Linked DNA regions of Canis lupus familiaris. Each later gene encodes a partner of the first gene's protein in a complex. Links are inferred from orthologs where the notes say so. Each region holds a gene or a part of one and is shown on either strand. Other genes may lie near its edges.

Region 1 (5,010 bases):
TGTGTTGCCAGAGCAAGGGAGCAGCAGGGGAGAGAGAGGGGAGGGTTGGAGTGAGATCCACAGACACACAGGGAGAGAGAGACGAGCCAGCAAGACCCAGCTCCTGAAACCTGACCTGGCCTTTGCAGATCCCATCACTAGGTCAGGCCTCACTCATGGAGAGGGGATTAGGTGGTTCCCCCTTACCTCCCACCCTGGGAGCCTGCAGGGTGCCCGCAGGCTGTGTCCGCTGTGTCCACTGGACTTGCCCTGTCCTTGGTGCTGGAGGCCCTGTCCTGTGGCTCTGCATTTGAGGGAGGGTCTACATGGGACCCATGGGGTGGAGTGAGGGCCAGGTCCCACTGCAGGTCCCCCCTGAAACGGGAGGTGTTGAGCAGCGTTTGGCATTCTGTGGTATGATTTGCAGTGTTGAGGTTTCTGCCCCGTGGCTGTGGCGTGTATCCATCAGGGAGCCAGGGAGTCTCCTGTGTGGCCCCGTGGGTGCTGTGATTCCTGGGAGTTGGTGTCTCTGTTGGCCTCTGTGGAAGGACTCCACTGCCCTCTTCCACACCCATCACTGCTGGTAGCACTGTGTCTGCCTCCTGCCGGCACTCCCAGCAGCACTCCATGCCCCCTCGGCCCAGACGTGCTTCTGATACTGTGGTTGGGTGCTGGCCACCGCTGCGTGTGCAAAGGGGCCCCTGTAAGGAGTATCACTGGGGGCTGGGGGCAAGGTCAGTAGAGGAGGGTGGTCCCTCTCTCAAGGCCCTTGTAGCTTCCTTCAGGTGCCCCACGTTTTGTGTGACTGTCCCTGAGGAGATCTGTGTGTAGGTTTCTCTTTCTCTGCTGGCTTTTCCACGTTTCCATGTCCTCATTGACTCTCCATCCGTTCATTGGCCCCGTTTGGGTGCTTTCATGCTTCTGTCTTTGAATGACTAGCCTACTGCCTCTTCTAGGAGGTGAAGTTCTGTTGGAGCGTCTTGCCATTTGTTTGAGACTTAACAGTGGCTGCTTGGGTGCCACCACTCAGCCCTTCCCAGCCTCCGTGCCGGGCTGGGGGACCGCTTCGATCTGGACTTGCCATGGGGGTTGTCTGCCCAGGCCTCTGTCCTGCCTTAAGGGGCTTCTGTTCCCCCGTGGGGACTTGTATTCCGTGGTAGGTAACCTGTTTGGAAGTAGAAAGTGTGCAGAGGTGGTGGGAAGCATGGGGCCTGCCCATGGAGGGGGGCAGTGAGGCAGCCCTGGCCTCCCCTCCCACCGGGAGCTGCGCCCTGCTGCCCTGTCACAGGCTTCATCTCCAACGGGCCCTGAGTTCTGGGGCTCTGTCCTGCTTGTCATGCGGGCGCCCAGAGGGAGTCTGTCTCATGGGGTGTGTTTCAGGGAGAGGATGGGGGTAGGGGGCGATGATGGGGTGGGTGGAGGGGGAGGAAGATCCAGGGTGGGCGGCAGGATGAGGCAGGGCCTTGCTGTGGCCCTCGCGCCTTGTGGGGGGTAGAGGGCGCTTGGAGGGACATGGGTGGACTTTCTGAAGCCTGGAGCCTGGTGACTTCTGGCTCGTTCTGTGAATCATCTAAAGTGGTCTTAATCCCCTTTCTGTCTGCCCTTGCAGTTGGCTCAGCTCTCCAGGCGGCTTGGTGACTTTCTGTGGGAGCGGGATCCTCGTTGCCCACATGAGAACATAGCAGCTGGTTTTGTTTTCATGTAGCACAAACATGAAAGGATGAATGCCATGTTTGTAAGAAAAACGGTTAGTTGTGGCACACGAGTGCTTCTGCTTTTGGTTTATGTGTTAACACAAATTTAGCATTTTGGTGTTTTTCTTACTGGAGGGTAGGTTTGCATTTTGAGTATAAAGACTCTGTCCTCACGCTTCTGCTGCTGTCGTGGGCCACTGTACCTGCTGCGCACGGGAGGGGTGCAGCCCTCGTGGGCTGTGCACCTCCAGATGAAGTAGACCTGCACAGCCTGCTGCACTCAAGTGTGTCTCTCCACAGAGAGCGGAATTGGGGGATGCGAGCTGGGTGGGGCCTGGGCTTCGTGTGGAAACTGTGTTGTGCTGTGAGTGTGGGCAGTTGGGCAGGATGAACCAGCACTGGAGCCAGTGTAGGTCATCCGTACAGGGAAGCCAGTTGGCCTCAGGAGTGTCCTGCTTGGTATCGCAGCTGCCAGGCCTCTGCTGCCTGAGTAGTCAGCGGTGATCCTGCCAGCCGGGCACCACAGGGCTCGCTTACTCCCAGGCCATCGCTCCTTGTGGACGCACTCATCAGGTGCTGTTGTCTGAGGTCAGGAAACCTAGATACGTTACTTTGGTCATGGCTGTTTGTCTTTGATAATTGGCAATGAGTGGTCTTACACCAGGAAATTTGTGCCAAATCTGTGTGCTACTGTTAAAGTTTGTTTCAGAAATATATTGAATGACTTCCCAGTTGATGAAAAGAAGCATTTTTTTTCCCTTAGGTTCTGTAGCAAAACGATTGACCACTGTCGTCATTGCTGTGAAACAAAGGACCCCAAAGCTCAGTGGTTAAAATAATAGTAAATGTTTATTCTCCTGCAGGGTTTCTGTGGGTCAGAATTTGGGAGTGGCTGGGTTGCAGTGGAGACACTGCCCGGCTCTGCAGCCACCAGAAAGTGTGTACCCAAAGCACTGGCCTCCACGGCAGCTGTACCCACGGGCCTTGTCACCTCTCCTGGTGACCCACAGTGGGACACAGCATACCATCTCGCCATCTCTGTTCCCACCTCGCCCCCAGGCGAGGACAGGTCTGCCTGATGGTGTGGCGATTTCCTGGAGCCTGACGCCCCAGCCCCAGCAGAGTGCCTGGGGCCCGTGGTTTCCCAGTTCTGTCTCATATGTTGGTCACCATCCCCCAGGCTTGGGGTACAAGCTGTTCTCCACATCACCCGTGAACAAGAGCATTAAAAGTAGTGTTTTTGTTTTTCTCATTTTGTTAGTGAAAAACAAGCTCGCACCTCTTGTGATTCTGACGCATGTTCTGTCTCCAAACAGATCATTTCTGTGTCTGGAAGACTTGCTGTGGGGTAAACTGGTCACCGTCCTGAGTGTGGACAGTGTAGGCGTCCACAGGAGCTGGTTGCCAGCTGCTTAGCTTCTTTCTAGGTCAGATTTGTTGTCCTGTGGTTCTTAGGCTCCGAACTGAAAACCAGGCTTGGGAATAAGACAGGTGTGTCTTTCCTGACCTGGCAGCTCTGGGCAGATGATCCCATCAGAGGCAGTGCATTTCCAGAAATGGCACCTATAGCCTCCAGGCGTTGTCGCACCTGGGGGGCTGCCAGCGTCTGGTGGTGGTGGCCTGTGTGCTGCTGGTCTAACAGTGAAGGGCAAACTGCGTCAGACAGGGTCTTCCCAGCCTGAGATCTGGACTCGTGCTGCTGGGACAGTATGCTCTGGATGTTGCAGCCGCTTTGTGCCTGGCCACTGCCCATCACTGGGCTCTCACGGGACAGAGTGAGGCTGGGCCCGGCCTGCTGCACAGGTGGTGGGTGCACCGCCCATATTAAAATTCCCAGCCCCCCTTTTACACGAGCTCTTTGGGAGTACAAGAGACAGGAATCTGACCGAGCATGAGCACTCAGGGTTCATGTGAGGGTTTTCCTGGTATCACGGAGCAGACCTGATACTTGTGGGGGACCTGTCTCTTGTCCAGTGCTTGTGTGGCTCCTTCATCCTCTGGGCTCTGCAGCTGCCTTCCTTTATGTCTTGTCCGTTGGTTCTCCAGTGGCTCCTCAGCTCTGGGTCCTGACATTGAGACTGGTAGGGACTGGCCTCTTCATCCATTCCCAGACTTTTCCAGAAAAGGTTGTGCTGGTCTCTTCTCGCCCAGGCCGCCCATTGGGTGCTACTGCAGGCAGCCCGTGGTGGGGGAAGATGAAGCCCTTCTGTTCCAGGGAGGACGGGCTGCTCTGACCTATAGCTCGAGTCAGACTGGGTGTTCCCCAGGGGGACTTGGGGCTTCCCAGCTTGGTTCTTGCTTTGGGTTGTGAGGGTTGCTAGGGTTGTGCCACTGCTGTGCCAACCATGAGCGCCATCTCTATGGGACAGGGGTGGCAGCATTCTTGGCATTCCAGTGAACGGCCAGTGAGCGCCAGAGCGGCACGTGCAGTGGCACCAGATCAGGGCAGATGCTGGGTCCCACCAGTCCTACCGGGGTAGACTCGTGAGGGCAGTCAGGCCCTGTTCTCATCGGGTCTTTGTCCAGCGTCCACTCATGCATCTGCTCTGGTGTGAAGGATTGTGGACAGGGCCTTCAGGGCCACATCTATGGGATTGAGGAGCCCTTGGGGCTGTGGGAAGGAGGAGCTGGCAGCGCCGGTGATGTGCCGGGGAGGGGGGTGTCTGGGGCTGTCTGACAGGTGCTGCTGTCATTGTGGGGGCACTGAGTCACTCTCCTGCTATAGCTAGGTCCTCGCTTCAAGGTACTTGGTGTCTTGTGGCTCTGGGGCACTTGGAGCCTGTTTGCTGGGACCAGTCTGTTTTGGGCTCCATCGGCAAGTGGAAAGTCTTCCTCACCCACTTCCTGGCCAGTGATCTTCTAACCCAGCCAGGCCTCAATCTGCCATTGTCCTCCTGGGCACACACACTTGGTCCCTTGGTTTCTTTGGGAAGTTGGGGTTTTGGAGAGTCCAGGAAGCTTTGCTGGGCTCCAAGGCTGTGCAGGTAGTCCCTCACATGTGTAGGCCTGACTTCCATCTCAGGTGGAGTCAGTGAGTTGGGATATATACTCTTGGTTTCTTGTGTGGATGATGCATTTAGTTTGTTCACTGTGCATCCAGTAGAGACCGTAAACCCACCCCTGGGATGCCGCGGGGCCTGAGGTGGGGGTTCTCCCATGCCAGGTTCAGGTGAGCTGTGCTTGTGTGTACTCCAGGCTCATCACTGCCACATGTGTGCTTGGGAGATGTGCTTCTGGAAGCTGCAAACCTCAGGCTCCTCATAGGACACAGGCTCTGGCCTCAAGCCATGGCCCCTGGAGCCTCAAGCTGTGGCCCCTGGGGACTGCATTTGCTCAG
Region 2 (4,712 bases), on another chromosome or scaffold:
CAGGGATTGGCCCAAAGTTAACAAGTACTCAGGTGATTCTGAAGTCAAGTGCCAAAGGACCAAGGACTCCTTTCGGAGAGCTGAGTCTCCTTGCTGCACTCTGGGTAGCCTCAAGCAACAGCCTGTTCCATTCCTAACCTTTCTCAGCACCTGCTTTGGGTCTTACCAGTGTTGAGAGGAGGCCCTGTTGGAGCTCCCAGTCTAGTAGGAGAGGCAGATGGAGAAACTGAGTGTGTGGTCAGTGTTGGGACAGAGGCAGCACTGGGCAATGGAGGAAGTGAGTAATTAGGACTCTGGAGGCTCTCTGGAGGAAGTCATGTATATTCTGGGCTTAGGGATTTGATCCTTGTTTGTGTATTAGCTCCCCCCCCCCCCCCGTGGGTCATCTCCACCAGATGGCAGGCAAGTTCATAGAAATGATCAAGTCTCACGTCTCTGCCCTCAAAGCTGGCACAAGGCCTGGCACAGAGGAGAGGACAATATTGGTCAAATCAGCTGACCTGAGCAATGAGAAATGGCTGATGGAGAGGTCCCAGGGCCTCCGGATTAACTGCATTTTCATGCTCAGCACCCTTACCTCCTCCCTTTGTGAACTCTAACGTGGAGTTAATGGTGGAAATTCCTCCTCATATTCCAAGCATTCGTTACTTCTATTCCTCTCCTTCTCTTTTCACAAGACCGAGCTCTTCAAGGTCTGAACTAAGAATGGGGCACAGAGCAGGCTCTCAAAAACGTTTGTTGAATAAATGGGTGAATAAATGAGTTCAAGCAGAAGCTGTGCATCGGCTATTGAAGAGATTCCAGCTAAAAGGGGGCTTACAGGAAAGCCCCAAGCTGTATTGGGCCAGATGTCCCTCCTCATTTTCTAACAGCCCGCTTCTGCTGGGGCTCCGGGTGAGAGGGACAGGGCAGGTGCAGGATTTGAAAGTAAATGGTATAGATGGGGCAAGTTGAGGATGGGAGCGGCAGCTGGGGCTTTGGAGACAGGCCTGACCATAGAAAAAAGGAAGGGCAGTTTCTAAGTGATTCAGACTAAGGTTGTTGGGGCTACAGGTGGCGGAGTCTAGGGGGTCACGGGAGGTCCGAATACGGTGTGAAGCGCAGAACGGACACTGACCCAAAGGGCTCCACATGCCGGGACCCGGAGTCCGCGGGGCGTCGGGGTGCGAGCCGCGCCACCACGCCCGGGGTAGGGACAGTCCCGGCTGGGGGCGGGGAGTGCGAGAGCTCCTGGCACCGCCCCGACAAAGCCTGCGCGCGCCCGGCCCCGCGATTGGCCGCGCCTCCTCGCGCCGACGCCCCGTCCCGCCCACCGCCGCCGGTCCGGCACGCTGCAGCCAATGGACCCCGTCGCCGTCGCCTACGTCACGGGCCCGACAGCCAATGGTCAGAGCGCTCGGCGGCTCGTGGCTCTTTCGCGGCAAAAAGGATTTGGCGCGTAAAAGTGGCCGGGACTTTGCAGGCAGCGGCGGCCGGGGGCGGAGCGGGATCGAGCCCTCGCCGCGGCCTGCCGCCATGGGCCCGCGCCGCCGCCGCCGCCTGCCACCCGGGCCGCGCGGGCCGTGAGCGCCATGGCCGTGGCCGGGGCCCCCGCAGGCGGCCCATGCGCGCCGGCGCTGGAGGCCCTGCTCGGGGCCGGCGCGCTGCGGCTGCTCGACTCCTCGCAGATCGTCATCATCTCCACGGCGCAGGACGCCAGCGCCCCGCCGGCCCCCGCCGGCCCGGCCGCGCCGGCCGCTGGCCCCCGCGACCCCGACCTGCTGCTCTTCGCCACGCCGCAGGCGCCCCGGCCCACACCCAGCGCGCCGCGCCCTGCGCTCGGCCGCCCGCCGGTACGGACACCAGGGACACAGGGCCGAGTGCACGTCTGGACCCCCGTGCAGACCCGGTCGGGGCGCGGTTTTTGGCCCGGAGGCAACGGGGGCGGGGGGAGGGGGTGGGCCGAGGCTCCCGGGCTGGGCGGGGTCGAGCCTGGGTTGGGCCTCCGGGCCCCGCCCCGGGATGCGGGGTGACCTCGGGCCAGTCGCTGTTTGCTCCTCTGCTCTGGGCCTCGGCTTTCCCCGAGCCGCTCGAGGGTCAGACTCAGTGGTAATAATAGCCCACGTGTATTCAGCTGGTGTTGCCTGCATGCCAGGTCTCTGGCGAACTTCGAGCCAGAACTCACAACCATGCTGTGAGCTCAGTGTTGTCACTGTGCCCATCTGAACGGAGGCCCGGAGAGGGGAAGTGACTTGCCCCCGGTCATACGGCTGCAAGTGGTGGGGCTGGGATTTGAACTGAGGCCTGCTGGCTCCAGACCAGAACTCGTGGCAGGGTAGTGGACAGGGCCCCTTGAGGAGGTCGAGGGGGCTATCCTGGGGCCAGACTGCTGAAAGAGTCATTGAGGAGACCCTCCTTCCTGCCTAGATGCTCCACTGCCAGGTGCAGGCCTGGGCCTCTGGGCCTCTGGGGACAGGCCTCCTGGCTGGGAGGCCTTCTCTGCAGGGGCGGGGTGGCTGGGCCAGCTGCTGATCCCCTCCCTCTGCCTGTCCTTCCATCTGCCACCCTCCACCCTCACAGGCCCTGGTTGCCATGGAGCCTCATTAATCAGGCAGGCAGACCCCTAGGCCCCCAGGGAAGTAATGGGTGGGCTGGGCCTCTGGGAGCTGGAGTGGAGGCCCCCAGTGCCAGGAGAGAGTAAATATTCCAGGGAGATGCCTTGATAAAGTGCTCCCTGAGCAGCAAGAGGCTCAGGAGCAATTTGGACTGGGGGCCCCAGAAAAGATTGCTTAATTACTGGAGAGCAGGGCCTAGAGGCCTGGAGCTTGGACCTGTGAGCTGCAGGACTGGGCGTGGAGACCAGCTTGACTGTCAGGGCCTGTGGGTGAAGGTGGGGCATGGAAGGCTGCTGGCAGGGGGCAGGGGCCAGGCCAGCCAGGCAGGAGGGGGTCTCAGCAGGGGGCCTGGAGCAAGTAGGAGGGGTGAAGCAGAGCCCGGGCAAGGAGGTGGAAGCTATCCAACTGCTTATGGGGGCCTGGGTGGCAGCTGGTCCCTGAGGCATCCCGGCAAGTCTCCCCTAACTCCCTTGGCCCCTCGCCCAGCCTAGCTCTGCCTTCCTTCCGGAATCACCAAGACGCTAATAATAATAACAATAGGAGCCACCATTGTTTTGAGACTGTTTTATATGTCAGGCTGTGTGCCAAGCACTTCACCCAGTTAACTCTCTCAACAACCATCCCCTTTTACAGATAGGGAAGCTGAGACCTAGAGATGATAGGTCATTCAGCTAGTGGAATGGTGGGACCAGTCCAGACTTCCTGAGCTGTTAACTAGTTAGCCACTGGGATGCCTTGCCTCCTAGAAATGTTAATAATACAGGTTGAAGGAAGTTAGGAACCCTTCTGATGGGTAAAGGGAGGAGGATTGTACTAAGGGTGGGTCACCTCTATCCCAGGGGCCTTTTTTCTCTGCAGGTGCCAGCCTGGGGCTTGGACCTGAAAACTGCATTTAGCTGACTGACAAGTACTTAGCCGACCTGGGGCTGTAGAAGCTGAGCTCCAGGCCCAGAGGGCTGCCAGAGACTGGGCTGAGGAAATGTACCCACCCCACCCCCAGCAGTGTCAGGGGCAGCCTTGTGGGCCTGAGCATTCCATCCATTCTACTGTTGAGTTAGTGAACTGCCCAAAAGGTACTAGACAATGGGCAAAGAAGGAGCCTCTGCCCTCACAGCTTTGAAGCACTAGTATCCATTTTCTGCCGGTGGGTGGGGGTGAGGGCTGGCACCACCCCAGAGCTGAAGTCCAGAAACACCCCCTCCAAGACTCTCCACTCTTGTACCTCTGGTCAGCCACTGGCCGATTGAGCTGTGGCCTCCTCTGACCCTCTGCACTGACATTTGTGTGAGGCAGTCTTTGAAACAAGCTACGGGTTCAGCTTCTGCATCAGTGAGCATTCATTGAGCACCTCTAGCATGCAAGACTCTACAACTCAGCCATTCCTCCTGGCACTTCCTGTCCACCTCTATCCTGTTGTCATAGCTGTTAAAAAGCAAATTAAAACATTTACTATAGAAAAAGTTAAGAGGCTAAAAAGTTGAAGGATGCCAACACCATTCATTTTTCCTCCTGTTTTCTTTTCCTAAGCCTGTTTTTTTTTAAAAAAGATGGTTGTGACAGCTTTTTTTTCCCCTTAAATTTTAAAAATTGTAGTTTTTCCTTTGTTTCTATGTTCAAACAGTAGATCATCCCCATTTTATAGATATAGTAACAGTCCCCCCATGGTTGTCCTCCACCCACATACCATACAGAGGTTACCCCTAGAATGGATTCTAGAATATTAGACACTGAACCAGAGAAAAATGTTTCATGTTTTTAATCCAAAAAGGGATCATATAAATGCATTGCCCTCTGATGATATTTTTCTTGTCATTATGTCTTTAAGAGGATTCTGTGTCACCCTTCATTAGTCCTTGACAGCTACGTGGTATTCCAGGGACTGGATGAGCCACACTTTTTGTGGCTCCCCTTCCATAGATGTTGGAGATGTCCACATTTTTTCACCACAATGTTCTGTGTGTCTTCACCTCTGCCTTTTTAGGTTCCTGTGCCAAGCTCTAGAGTGTGGTGGCTGAAATGGAGACCTGCTTGAGCCCTTGCTTTAGGGTGTGGCATTGACCTGTCATCACGGTGGGCATGGGCCTGAGGAGCAGGGAGATGAGGGGTGCAATTGGCAGG

The links. The genes of interacting proteins can lie anywhere in the genome.
Region 2: the proteins of TFDP1 (region 1) and E2F1 are in contact, whole or in part, in a crystal structure (PDB 2AZE), measured with the Homo sapiens proteins. The link is inferred for Canis lupus familiaris from reciprocal best matches to the Homo sapiens genes TFDP1 and E2F1. Residues at the interface, in NP_009042.1 of Homo sapiens: Glu201, Cys202, Leu205, Glu206, Glu208, Arg209, Arg212, Leu213, Arg215, Ile216, Lys219, Gln220, Gln222, Leu223, Leu226, Ile227, Gln229, Gln230, Phe233, Lys234, Leu236, Val237, Arg239, Asn240, Arg241, Glu244, Pro251, Ser255, Val256, Ile257; in NP_005216.1 of Homo sapiens: Arg202, Leu203, Leu206, Thr207, Asp209, Leu210, Leu213, Gln214, Ser216, Glu217, Leu220, Asp221, Leu223, Met224, Ile226, Cys227, Thr228, Gln230, Leu231, Leu234, Asp239, Ser240, Gln241, Arg242, Leu243, Ala244, Tyr245, Val246, Thr247, Cys248.

Annotation. Positions count from the first base shown.
Region 1 is NC_049243.1:61,025,024-61,030,033, forward strand, and holds the start of TFDP1 (transcription factor Dp-1), read left to right. Parts: upstream 1-1,617; 5' UTR 1,618-1,699; coding exon 1,700-1,726; intron 1,727-5,010. UniProt on the Homo sapiens protein: Can stimulate E2F-dependent transcription.
Region 2 is NC_049245.1:23,405,368-23,410,079, reverse strand, and holds the start of E2F1 (transcription factor E2F1), read left to right. Parts: upstream 1-1,556; 5' UTR 1,557-1,571; coding exon 1,572-1,832; intron 1,833-4,712. UniProt on the Homo sapiens protein: Transcription activator that binds DNA cooperatively with DP proteins through the E2 recognition site, 5'-TTTC[CG]CGC-3' found in the promoter region of a number of genes whose products are involved in cell cycle regulation or in DNA replication.